Arabidopsis thaliana: one gene and its partner. The protein of the gene in region 1 interacts with the protein of each later gene in a pairwise test. Each region holds a gene or a part of one and is shown in the gene's direction. Other genes may lie near its edges.

The links.
Region 2: the proteins of AT5G63440 (region 1) and AT1G03910 interact in binary tests that used the Arabidopsis thaliana proteins (3 or more experiments, as listed by UniProt).

The regions. Positions count from the first base shown.
Region 1 is NC_003076.8:25,404,396-25,408,965, forward strand, and holds AT5G63440 (hypothetical protein (DUF167)), read left to right. Parts: upstream 1-1,856; 5' UTR 1,857-1,964; coding exon 1,965-2,079; intron 2,080-2,625; coding exon 2,626-2,740; intron 2,741-2,832; coding exon 2,833-2,986; intron 2,987-3,062; coding exon 3,063-3,159; intron 3,160-3,254; coding exon 3,255-3,343; coding exon of another isoform or gene 3,344-3,391; exon of another isoform or gene 3,392-3,471; coding exon 3,472-3,540; intron 3,541-3,740; coding exon 3,741-3,800; 3' UTR 3,801-4,061; downstream 4,062-4,570. Other genes in the region: emb2746 (RNA-metabolising metallo-beta-lactamase family protein), read left to right, coding at 50-147, 241-665, 734-1,209, 1,320-1,412. UniProt on the Arabidopsis thaliana protein: May play a role during early embryonic development. Probably involved in pre-mRNA splicing.
Region 2 is NC_003070.9:994,293-1,000,984, forward strand, and holds AT1G03910 (cactus-binding carboxy-terminal, cactin), read left to right. Parts: upstream 1-1,822; 5' UTR 1,823-1,925; intron 1,926-2,133; 5' UTR 2,134-2,139; coding exon 2,140-2,442; intron 2,443-2,555; coding exon 2,556-2,647; intron 2,648-2,884; coding exon 2,885-2,984; intron 2,985-3,125; coding exon 3,126-3,197; intron 3,198-3,311; coding exon 3,312-3,374; intron 3,375-3,462; coding exon 3,463-3,603; intron 3,604-3,876; coding exon 3,877-4,008; intron 4,009-4,127; coding exon 4,128-4,223; intron 4,224-4,440; coding exon 4,441-4,725; intron 4,726-4,816; coding exon 4,817-5,119; intron 5,120-5,211; coding exon 5,212-5,388; intron 5,389-5,467; coding exon 5,468-5,734; intron 5,735-5,819; coding exon 5,820-5,939; 3' UTR 5,940-6,145; downstream 6,146-6,692. Other genes in the region: ABCI19 (P-loop containing nucleoside triphosphate hydrolases superfamily protein), read left to right, coding at 62-113, 204-340, 536-622, 1,021-1,302. UniProt on the Arabidopsis thaliana protein: Plays a role in pre-mRNA splicing by facilitating excision of a subset of introns. Required for embryogenesis.

The DNA.
Region 1 (4,570 bases):
TGTGTAAATGACTAGATTAGGATATTGAATAATCCTAGCGTTGCTGCAGTTAATGTATAGTGATGGTGATAAAGCATTTGGCACATCAAGCGAACTATGCATTGACGAACGACTTAGAATTTCTTCTGATGGCATTATAGTTCTGAGGTAAATCTGAATTGTAACATTCCTGTGCCAGTGCATTTTGTTAGTCGTATTTAATAATTTGTTGGCTTCCTTGTATGATTTTCTATAATCCAGCATGGAGATCATGCGTCCAGGGGTCTCAGAAAACACTTTGAAAGGAAAAATAAGAATCACAACGCGGTGCATGTGGCTTGACAAAGGAAGACTTTTAGATGCACTTCACAAAGCAGCTCATGCTGCTCTATCAAGTTGTCCTGTGACATGTCCCTTGTCTCACATGGAAAGAACAGTCTCCGAAGTCCTGAGGAAGATTGTAAGGAAGTACAGTGGTAAAAGGCCTGAAGTCATCGCTATAGCCACTGAGAATCCAATGGCTGTCCGAGCTGATGAGGTCAGTGCGAGACTGTCTGGTGATCCAAGTGTTGGTTCTGGAGTTGCAGCTTTAAGGAAAGTTGTTGAAGGAAATGACAAAAGAAGTCGGGCGAAGAAAGCACCTTCACAAGAAGCTTCCCCCAAAGAAGTAGATCGCACTTTGGAAGGTCTGGTCTTACTTTCACATTTGTAGGTCTATATTCGGGATGTAATCTAACATGTTTCAGTCATGCAGATGATATCATTGATAGTGCAAGACTACTGGCTGAAGAAGAAACTGCGGCATCAACATACACGGAAGAAGTTGATACGCCCGTTGGGAGTTCTTCAGAAGAGTCAGACGATTTTTGGAAATCATTCATCAATCCATCATCGTCACCTTCACCGAGTGAAACAGAAAATATGAATAAGGTAGCTGATACGGAGCCTAAAGCAGAGGGTAAGGAAAACAGCAGAGACGACGATGAATTAGCTGATGCTTCAGATTCTGAAACCAAGTCATCACCAAAACGTGTGAGGAAGAACAAATGGAAACCGGAGGAGATAAAGAAGGTAATCAGAATGCGAGGAGAGCTGCACAGTAGATTTCAAGTGGTGAAAGGTAGAATGGCATTGTGGGAAGAGATCTCTTCAAATCTATCAGCTGAAGGAATCAATCGAAGCCCGGGACAATGCAAATCTCTCTGGGCATCACTTATTCAGAAATACGAGGTTCGTCTCTGAACATATGAATCTGTAGCCGTAGATTTGAAGTTCATGATTACAAGATCAAAAGCTCTTAAGTTAGCAACCAAGATTTGATGTAATACATTTTTGTGCAGGAGAGCAAGGCTGATGAGAGAAGCAAGACGAGTTGGCCACATTTTGAGGATATGAACAACATTTTGTCAGAGCTAGGCACACCTGCGTCTTAAGTAATGTGATTTAGATGACATTATCTTCCCAAAAGAATCATCTCCAGATTTTCTTAAATTGAACAAAAACAGAAAAGCATTAATTATATTATGTATGTAACCAGCTGTAAGATGATTTTTGTCTGTAGAACTAGAAGCTATCAACGCAGAATCCAAATCCCAAGGGACAAGAAAGCCATGACTAGTTTTTTCGGTTTGGTTTAAGATTCGCTTTGGCTTCAAACACATGACTAACCGGAATTATTCAATTTTGATGTTCATGTGGTTTTCTTATTGGTTTTCGTTGATTTTATATACCACCAATCACTAATTTTTTTAATTAAATCCGGTTTAGATGCTGTTGTACATTGAACCAACAGTTAAAGTGAGAAATGACGGTTTCACCCTTAAAGCAGCGTAGCCCGTCTGGTATTCCACCGTCGATCGCCGCCGTGGCAATTTTGGTAATTTATTATTATTTTAAAAACAATGTGAAAGAGATTAATGCAAAGTTGAGAGCTGAGTTTCCGACAAATTTATTGGATTGACGAACTTTGAAGAAGAAGAAGAGAGATGCCGAAGAGAACGACACACACGTACTCGAGCGAGGACGCCGCGCCGGATGGACCCGACTCTGATCTCTTCGTATACTACTGCAAACACTGTGGTTCTCATGTCCTTATCACTGGTTCGTTTCTCCAATTTCACCTTTTGATTCCGAGTTTGGGGTTTAGTTGCGTTAAATTAGAGTGAAACCCTTTTACTTGCGAGATTGCTCTTTGGTTTCCAGATACATTGATTGGGAATTATGATTGAAAGTTTCAATCTTTGATTTACTTTGAACATCAGGTCATAGTAGTTTATAGTTTTTAAGTGGTGGATAACTTCTTGCTTTGAATTTAGATTAACAACAAACTACTTTTTAGGTCCAAGCACAGATTTTTACATGATTTCGATTTAGATTCTTGGGGTTTTGTTACTCTGGTAATGTTGATATTCGTTTGTGAACTAAAAAGTTGGAATGTGTTAAGACTTGTAGCTCATTGCATGTTTCCAGTAATTCTGTAGATTTACTTATGTCCTGAATCTTTCTCATTGGCTTGGTTACTCCTTGAGAACTTAAAAGCTAAGATTTTAAGTGGTGAAATATGTCGTTTATCCGATTAAGAGTGTAACATGCAAAGTTATGGTATCCTTGTATATTGCTTGTATACTAATTTAGATCCTTTACAAGATACCCAGTTGCAGAAGATGCCAAAAAGGAAGACCGACAGGTCGAATGTACTTGACAAGAAGACGCACCTTGCTAGGTTGAATGTCAGCGAGGGAGGAAAAGTTTTATTGAAACGGTAAGTTTTGGTCTAGAGCTACTGAGCCAGTGTTTGGATTTAACCATCGATTTATCTAAAAGTTTGTTTCTTTATGTTTGGTTTGTTACCAGTGGCGAAGGAAAAATGGAGAGACAGTTTAGAATGAACTGTATCGGTTGTGAGCTTTTTGTTTGTTATCGTGCTGAAGAGAATCTGGAAACAGCGTCTTTCATTTACATTGTTGATGGAGCACTTAGTGCTGTTGCTGCAGAAACCAACCCACAGGTACAATTGGTTTCTTATAATCTTTTCAATTCCAAGATCAAAAACTAGATCACTAATCTGTTGTGGCGGCACACAGGATGCACCAGTACCTCCCTGCATTTCACAACTCGACGGTGGACTTGTTCAGGTTGCAATAGAAGTGGAAGACCGTGCACAACGTTCAGCAATCACAAGTAAAACATAGTATTATGGCACAAAATCTATTTTCTTACTCACTTGACATGGATCTTCGATTAAACAATTGCCATACTCTTTTTTCTCTCTGCAGGGGTAAATGCTGATGATGTTCGTGTGACTGTTGCTGCACCAGCAGCCCGTGGGGAAGCTAACAACGAGCTTCTGGAATTCATGGGAAGGGTACCAAATCAATCCGTTATTAATCACTTTTTAAGATTTATACTCTAGTCACGGCGTTTCATATTTTGTATGTGAAAATGAGGTTTTTTGACCAACGCGACACGACCTCTGTGTTTTTACTCTTTCAGGTTCTTGGTTTAAGGTTGAGCCAGATGACTCTCCAAAGAGGTTGGAATAGCAAATCAAAACTCCTCGTGGTACGTTGATCCTTCCTTTGAGTCTCTTGAGAAGACTTTGTGAAGATTCATCTCTAAAAACTCTTATTGTTTTTCTTAGCTCTAGATGATAAGGTTTTGGCTTTTATACTAATGGCACAAGGACCTCTAATAGTGGTGATCAAAAATAGGTTGTCGCATTGAATGAATAACCCATTCTGATTTTTGTTCCCCTGAACCAGGTCGAGGATTTATCAGCTAGACAAGTGTATGAGAAGCTTCTCGAGGCCGTTGTACCGTAAAAACTGCGGTTTGTGGTTGGTGAACGACATTAGCTGAAATCTCTGCAACTCCTTAGTTAACACCCTTTATTGGTATGAAGAACGAGTTTTCGTATTTTACTTGAGAAAGATAGCTATAAACAAATTGCTTTCTTCTTTGTTTTCATGCTTATGCGACAACTAACTCTTTTTATACAATCCCCTATTGTTAAAAGTTATAATAATCGTCTATACTCTTTAGATTCCTTCAAAACTGATTTATCTATTTCGGACCATTCGAAATTGAAGTCATATGAAAAAAAGTTTGAAAATCTTTATATATATGTCTGCACTAATTTCAAAAACCTGTTATTAAAAACAAATTTTCAGTGTATAATCTGCAGAATAAAACGATCACTATTGCACTAATTAAGCTTAAGAATAAGATATATTTGTGTAGTCCAAAGGTGACTGTACTGTGACATGTTTCACATGTTTCAGTTCTATTTCATCGCTGTATCGGACCAATCGTCACAGACACAGTTAGCTAGTTTGTAATTATATATATCTGCCCCAATCTCTATTTATTAATATTAGAGACATACATATACTTCCAGAAAGTGTTTAATGCGTGACCTATGTCTATCAAACTGATTAATATATTGCATCCACTTCGATAAGACGACATACTGATTTATATTTAATTTTTCTATTCACAAGTAAACTGTGAATCCCACACATATATAATATATTTATTTGATTTAATTTATAAACCACACATTTTACATATTAGTTGGATATTCTACAAGGAC
Region 2 (6,692 bases), on another chromosome or scaffold:
TACCGCTCGACTGCATTATCAATCTGATGTTATTTACTTTCTTGATTCTGCTACATTTTAGGGAGAGGTTCCTCTCCAGGGAGATTTCTCAGCAGAACATATGATATTTGGAGGTAATTTTCAGTAAGTTGATTTGTTTTATCTTTAGTCCCCTTTTTTCAGGCTTATAAACTGAAGGAGATTTTCTTTCGTTGTCCTTCTAGTTGAAGGAACTGATCCCGTGAGAAGAGAAAAACTGATTGATCTTCTTGATATCAATCTTCAATGGCGTATGCATAAGGTTTCTGATGGGCAGAAACGGCGCGTGCAGATATGTATGGGACTCTTACATCCATTCAAGGTGAAAACAATACTGTTTCAGAGAGGCTGATTATTCTGCATCCTCTAAAATCTCACATGATTCATTGTCAGTTATGTTCTCCTCTGGCTTTAAGCAAAAAAGAACCTCGTTTCTGATTGTGTTATCATCATTGCTGACGCTAATTTTAATCTGATTTTACAAACTTCTTATAAATCTCTCATGCTCTGATCACAGGTGTTATTACTCGATGAGGTCACTGTTGACCTAGACGTCGTTGCAAGGATGGATTTGCTGGAATTCTTCAAAGAAGAATGTGATCAGGTAATATTCTACCAGCCTCTTTAATATCATCTATGATCTCCTAAGTATATACAAGCCGTTTGTGTACATGTTTCTGTCGGTTAGTAACTGGAATATTAATGCTTAACCATTCAAGGACAAGCTTTTCATATCGGTTCTTGTTGCTGCTAAGTGATGTTGCCTATAATTACTATAGGGTCCTTGCATGTCTATGATCTGTGGTAGTACCATAAAAGGATAATTTAGTAGTAGCATGCATGTATCATGCAGTTTCAAGTGCAAATTTGTACCGGTTTTTATAGTTTCACTTCTTGAGTTCTGAGCACGTATTCGTATTGGAAGATTACAACTCACACACTTATTCTTACTGATGACTTATTGCATGATCTTTGACTTGTTTATACCATTGATTAACTCAGAGAGGAGCTACAATCGTGTATGCAACTCACATATTCGACGGGCTAGAGACATGGGCGACACATTTGGCCTACATTCAGGACGGTGAGCTGAATCGTTTATCGAAAATGACAGATATTGAGGAGCTGAAAACTTCACCCAACCTCCTCTCCGTGGTAGAATCTTGGCTCCGTTCTGAAATCAAACTCGTGAAGAAGAAGAAGAAGCCTGTGGCGCCATGGAAACCATCTCCATTCGATAACTCTCCTTTTAGATCATCGAGACACATGGCTTATTACCGATGATTGGTGATTACCAGTGAGATCATTGATCCTATATATGAATTTGATAATCGGTAAGAATAAAGACACCCGAGAGTAGTTCAGATTTCGTGTGTGTAGCTGCTATTTACCACTTGGCTCATTGAAGAATAGACAACAAATTGTACTTACAATTGTGCTGATATATATACCACAGTGATTTTCACAAAATGGGAAGTGAATTTATTTTACCGATTGCTTCAAACCCTTAATTCTATATACTTGATCTCTAAACATTGTGTAAATTGTGTAAATTTCAACCAAAATCTCTGAAATGTGTTTTTAACGTTTTTGATCATATAAGTGGACAATATGAACCGGCCGATTTTGCTCTTAACCAGTCGTTATTTTCCATAGACGGTCGGTTTTTCTTGAACCGGGAATTTCCACATGATTTTATTGACAGAACGACGTCGTATTAAAATAGAAGGAAAGAAGAACCGACGTCCGAATGACGAAAATCTCCCTGAAACTTAATAAATCTTAACCCTCCTTTGCTCGATCCATTATCGGGGAGGAGAAAATCCTACCGCCTTCACCACCGTCGCGCAGACGCCGCAATCACCAACACTCATCGTCACTGACTCCAGATCTTCCTCTCCAACTAGGTTTGCAATTCTCTTCTCCTTCCGCTGTTTATTGGTTTCAATTTCTGCTTAGATTCTCTTACTGCTGGTGAAACTTGAATTTGGAGCTTCTCTTTTCGCTCATTTAACCACTTCGTGTGTTCTTAGGGTTTAGATGTTGGTCTTTTAGGGACTCTCTTTGAATACTTGTTTATTGCACTTTAAGAATGATTCAATTTATCTTCGACAGAGAGATATGGGTTCTCATGGTAAGGGTAAGAGAGATAGAAGTGGAAGGCAGAAGAAGCGGAGAGATGAATCCGAGTCTGGGTCTGAGTCCGAGTCTTACACTTCTGACTCTGATGGCTCAGATGATTTGTCGCCGCCCAGGAGTTCCAGGAGGAAGAAAGGTAGCAGCAGTCGTCGGACTCGACGCCGTAGCTCAAGTGATGATTCCAGTGACAGTGATGGTGGACGGAAGAGTAAGAAGAGATCTTCATCTAAGGATTACTCGGAGGAAAAAGTTACGGAGTATATGTCTAAAAAAGCTCAGAAGAAGGTAAACTTATTGTTGTATGTTATTTTGTTTTTTGTCCTTTTTTTGTGTGTTTTAACCCTTGTATTTGTTGGAGCTGGTTGCTAACTTTATGCTACTTGTTAAATTCTTTGTAGGCATTACGTGCAGCAAAGAAACTGAAGACGCAGTCAGTGTCAGGGTACTCCAATGATTCAAACCCATTTGGTGATTCAAATCTCACTGAGACGTAAGTACTAAGAAAATATGATTATTGTTTCTGAGTTTTAGTGGTGTATAACTTTGATGATAGGATGTAGGAGGATTATGGAGCTCTCCTGGTTTTCTACTTGTACAAATTTTGAAATCTGGTAGTTAAAAAAGTTGGCTTAAATTGAATGTGTTATCGATTTGTACAGATGTACTTGTGAGTAACTTGGTTTTAAGAGTCTGCAATTCTCATGGCATGCAATTTTATTAATATCAGATTTGTGTGGCGGAAGAAGATTGAAAAAGATGTTCATCGAGGAGTACCGCTGGAAGAATTTTCCGTTAAAGCTGAGAAGAGAAGACACCGGGAAAGGATGGTATGTACAATAAGCATTACTGATTAAAAATATCGATGAAATTTTCATTTCCTTGATGCTTGTAACTATTTGCTATTTTTTCTGGTGGAATGAGCTTTCTGCTTATGTATTAACTCTTAAGCACTTTGGTTTAACGCGCAGACAGAGGTTGAAAAGGTTAAGAAGAGGAGAGAAGAGAGAGCAGTGGAGAAAGCTCGACATGAAGAAGAAATGGTAAATTCTGGTATCCAGAAGGATGTATACAATTGAAATTCTTATTAGCCAGTTACCTCTCTAATTTGGTTAATACTGTATAGCTATTGACTTAAATCGTTCTATCCTCTGCAGGCATTGTTAGCTAGAGAACGTGCTCGGGCTGAGTTCCATGATTGGGAGAAGAAAGAGGAAGAGGTATAACTGCGTTTTCTTTGCTTTTGCAATTAATTCTTCTTTACAGTTGTTTGGTGTATGTTGCTTGATATATCTGCTTGATCTACAGTTCCATTTCGATCAAAGCAAGGTGAGGTCAGAGATTAGATTACGTGAAGGTCGACTGAAGCCAATCGACGTCCTCTGCAAGCACTTGGATGGTTCAGATGATTTGGATATCGAGCTCAGTGAACCGTACATGGTTTTCAAGGTATTTAAAAAGATTATATTATATTGTAAAGCCATAGGCGTGTTAAGTTGTGGAGCTTTCTCACTGAGGTTTATACTTTCTTGGGCCCAGTCCAGTTCCATAACAGTTTCAGTCTATGCAATCAGTTCGATTGTGACCGTAGTAGACAGGGAACAAGCTTGAGATAAAATAAGTTATTCTGCAAGTCTAAGTATGAGCAATTTAGATGCTGGGATAGCATCTATTCTGGTTAGCTTTTCTGAGTATCTCTTATAACTCTGTGAACCTATGTAGAAAAAAAAAGTACGTATAGGAATTTGGCTGAATTTCCAGCTCAGCATAACCAACGTCTATGTAGAAGCAGAATATAAGAATGATTCTGCATGCTTGCTTTTGAGATCGAGAGTGGACATCTTGTTAAATAAAGTCTCTGATTGTGTAGTTGTTCTCTTTTTTGGTTGACAAAGAAGATTTTACTGGTTTGGTTTTATCAGATTGTTATGATTCTTATTATTAAAATTGACCCCCTGATCTGTATGATGCAGGGACTTACTGTTAAAGATATGGAAGAGCTTCGCGATGATATCAAGATGTATCTGGATTTGGATCGGGCAACTCCAACACGTGTACAATATTGGGAGGTATGTTCTACAACTGAGTCTCATTTTGCATTTGAGGAGATTCACGCATTTAAAGTTATTATGCATGTATGGAATTTCGATCCAAAAAATACATATTCTATGGACCATCTTGTTGTACCTTTTTGATGGTTGATTAGTATTCTTGCCTCTTTTTCATGTTATATTACCTGCTGCTTACGAGTAAATATTTGGGCTTAATACCATTGAAATTTTCCAGGCGCTTATTGTGGTATGCGATTGGGAGTTAGCTGAAGCTCGTAAGAGGGATGCCCTTGATCGAGCTAGAGTTAGAGGGGAGGAGCCTCCTGCAGAATTGCTTGCTCAAGAGAGGGGACTACACGCTGGTGTTGAAGCTGATGTGAGAAAACTTCTCGATGGGAAGACCCACGCGGAGCTTGTAGAACTGCAGTTGGACATCGAATCGCAGCTGCGTTCTGGGTCTGCGAAAGTAGTAGAGTATTGGGAAGCAGTTCTTAAACGCCTCGAAATATACAAGGCAAAGGTATTTGCTCGTGGATGATCATGGTGTGTTAGATTTTGAAAACTGAGGATTTGTTTTTCGCATCTTCACTGACTATATTGATGTTCAACAGGCTTGCTTGAAGGAAATACACGCTGAGATGCTGAGACGTCATCTACATCGCCTCGAGCAACTTTCAGAGGGTGAAGATGATGTAGAAGTTAATCCTGGCTTAACACGTGTGGTGGAAGAAAATGAGGAGGAGATAAATGATACGAATCTTTCAGATGCTGAAGAAGCATTTTCTCCAGAGCCTGTTGCGGAGGAAGAAGAAGCTGATGAGGCAGCAGAAGCGGCTGGTTCGTTTTCGCCAGAGCTCATGCACGGTGATGATCGTGAAGAAGCAATCGATCCCGAGGAAGACAAGAAGCTACTGGTATATTTAACAGTTCCTACAATTGAATTTTACACATGAATTATTGTTGTTGGTGCTTCTACTGACCCAAAATATGACTGCGGCTATAACAGCAAATGAAACGGATGATTGTGCTGGAGAAACAGAAGAAACGGCTTAAAGAAGCTATGGACTCAAAACCAGCACCTGTAGAAGATAACTTGGAGCTTAAAGCAATGAAAGCAATGGGAGCAATGGAAGAAGGTGATGCCATATTTGGCTCTAATGCTGAAGTGAACCTCGATTCCGAGGTACCCTTATCACTATTTTTCTCTTCTCTGCAACTTTTCAGTTTTGTAGAACAAAAATACCATAATTTTCATCTTCTAGGTATACTGGTGGCATGACAAGTACCGGCCAAGAAAACCGAAGTATTTCAATCGGGTTCACACAGGTTACGAATGGAATAAGTATAACCAAACTCACTATGACCACGATAATCCGCCTCCAAAAATCGTTCAAGGATACAAGTTTAACATCTTCTACCCGGATTTAGTAGACAAAATTAAGGCTCCCATTTACACTATCGAAAAAGATGGGACAAGTGCTGAAACGTGTATGATCCGGTTCCATGCTGGTCCACCTTATGAAGACATTGTAAGTACTCGTAACCATTATGTGGGTTTCATCATCACCTCTCGTGTTATCATTGTGCTCAAATTTATTTTTGTTTGCTTTTCAGGCGTTCCGGATTGTGAATAAAGAATGGGAGTATTCTCACAAGAAAGGTTTCAAATGCACGTTTGAGCGTGGGATTCTGCATTTGTACTTCAACTTTAAACGACATAGGTACAGGCGATAACCTTATCGGAGTTTGGCTGGAGAAGACGAAAGTGGCACTTGTAAGACTTTGGCTGATGTTTTTAAAAGCCTTGTTTGTAAGAGAAGGGCGATATACATAGTCTAAATTTGGATTTCTCTCAAGTTAATTTCTGAGGTAAGAGCTGTATTTGGATATTTTGTTGAAGCTGATCATCAAACAGAACCGAATAGAAAATGATTTTCCCACATGACAAACTAACAATCGAAAATGTAATGATGATAACTAACAAAATGTGACGTAAATAATTTGAACAAATCTGGAGTTGGTGTTTCTGCAAGAACTTTTTGGTGAATGAGTGTTATATGGAAAAGTTGGTGTAGAGACATGAATGTGTGTTTTGGTTGGGGACGAGAGAGACGAAGAGAGAGAGAGTTAAGGTGTTGAAGTTGCTTATTAGGTTGAGATCTCAACATCAAAATGCTTATAAAAAGATTCTGTTGGTAACTTAAGTAGTGGAGTAGAAGATATTATTTATTCTGACTTTTCCTTTCTTTTTCATCTTCCTTTTGATGTCTCTTTTTCTCCAAACTCTCCTCCACTCCAAGACAAAAAAAAAACCCTTCTTTTGTATTCGTATTACTTAAAATTTGCATTTCTTTTAATAATCTCGATTCTGAATATTATATTTATGTCTAATTTTCGTTACTAACAAACTAACATAACCAAATTTTCCGTATATATCCACCATTTAAGTTTAATGAAGCTTTTTGAAAATGAAAAACTAGTGCGTAG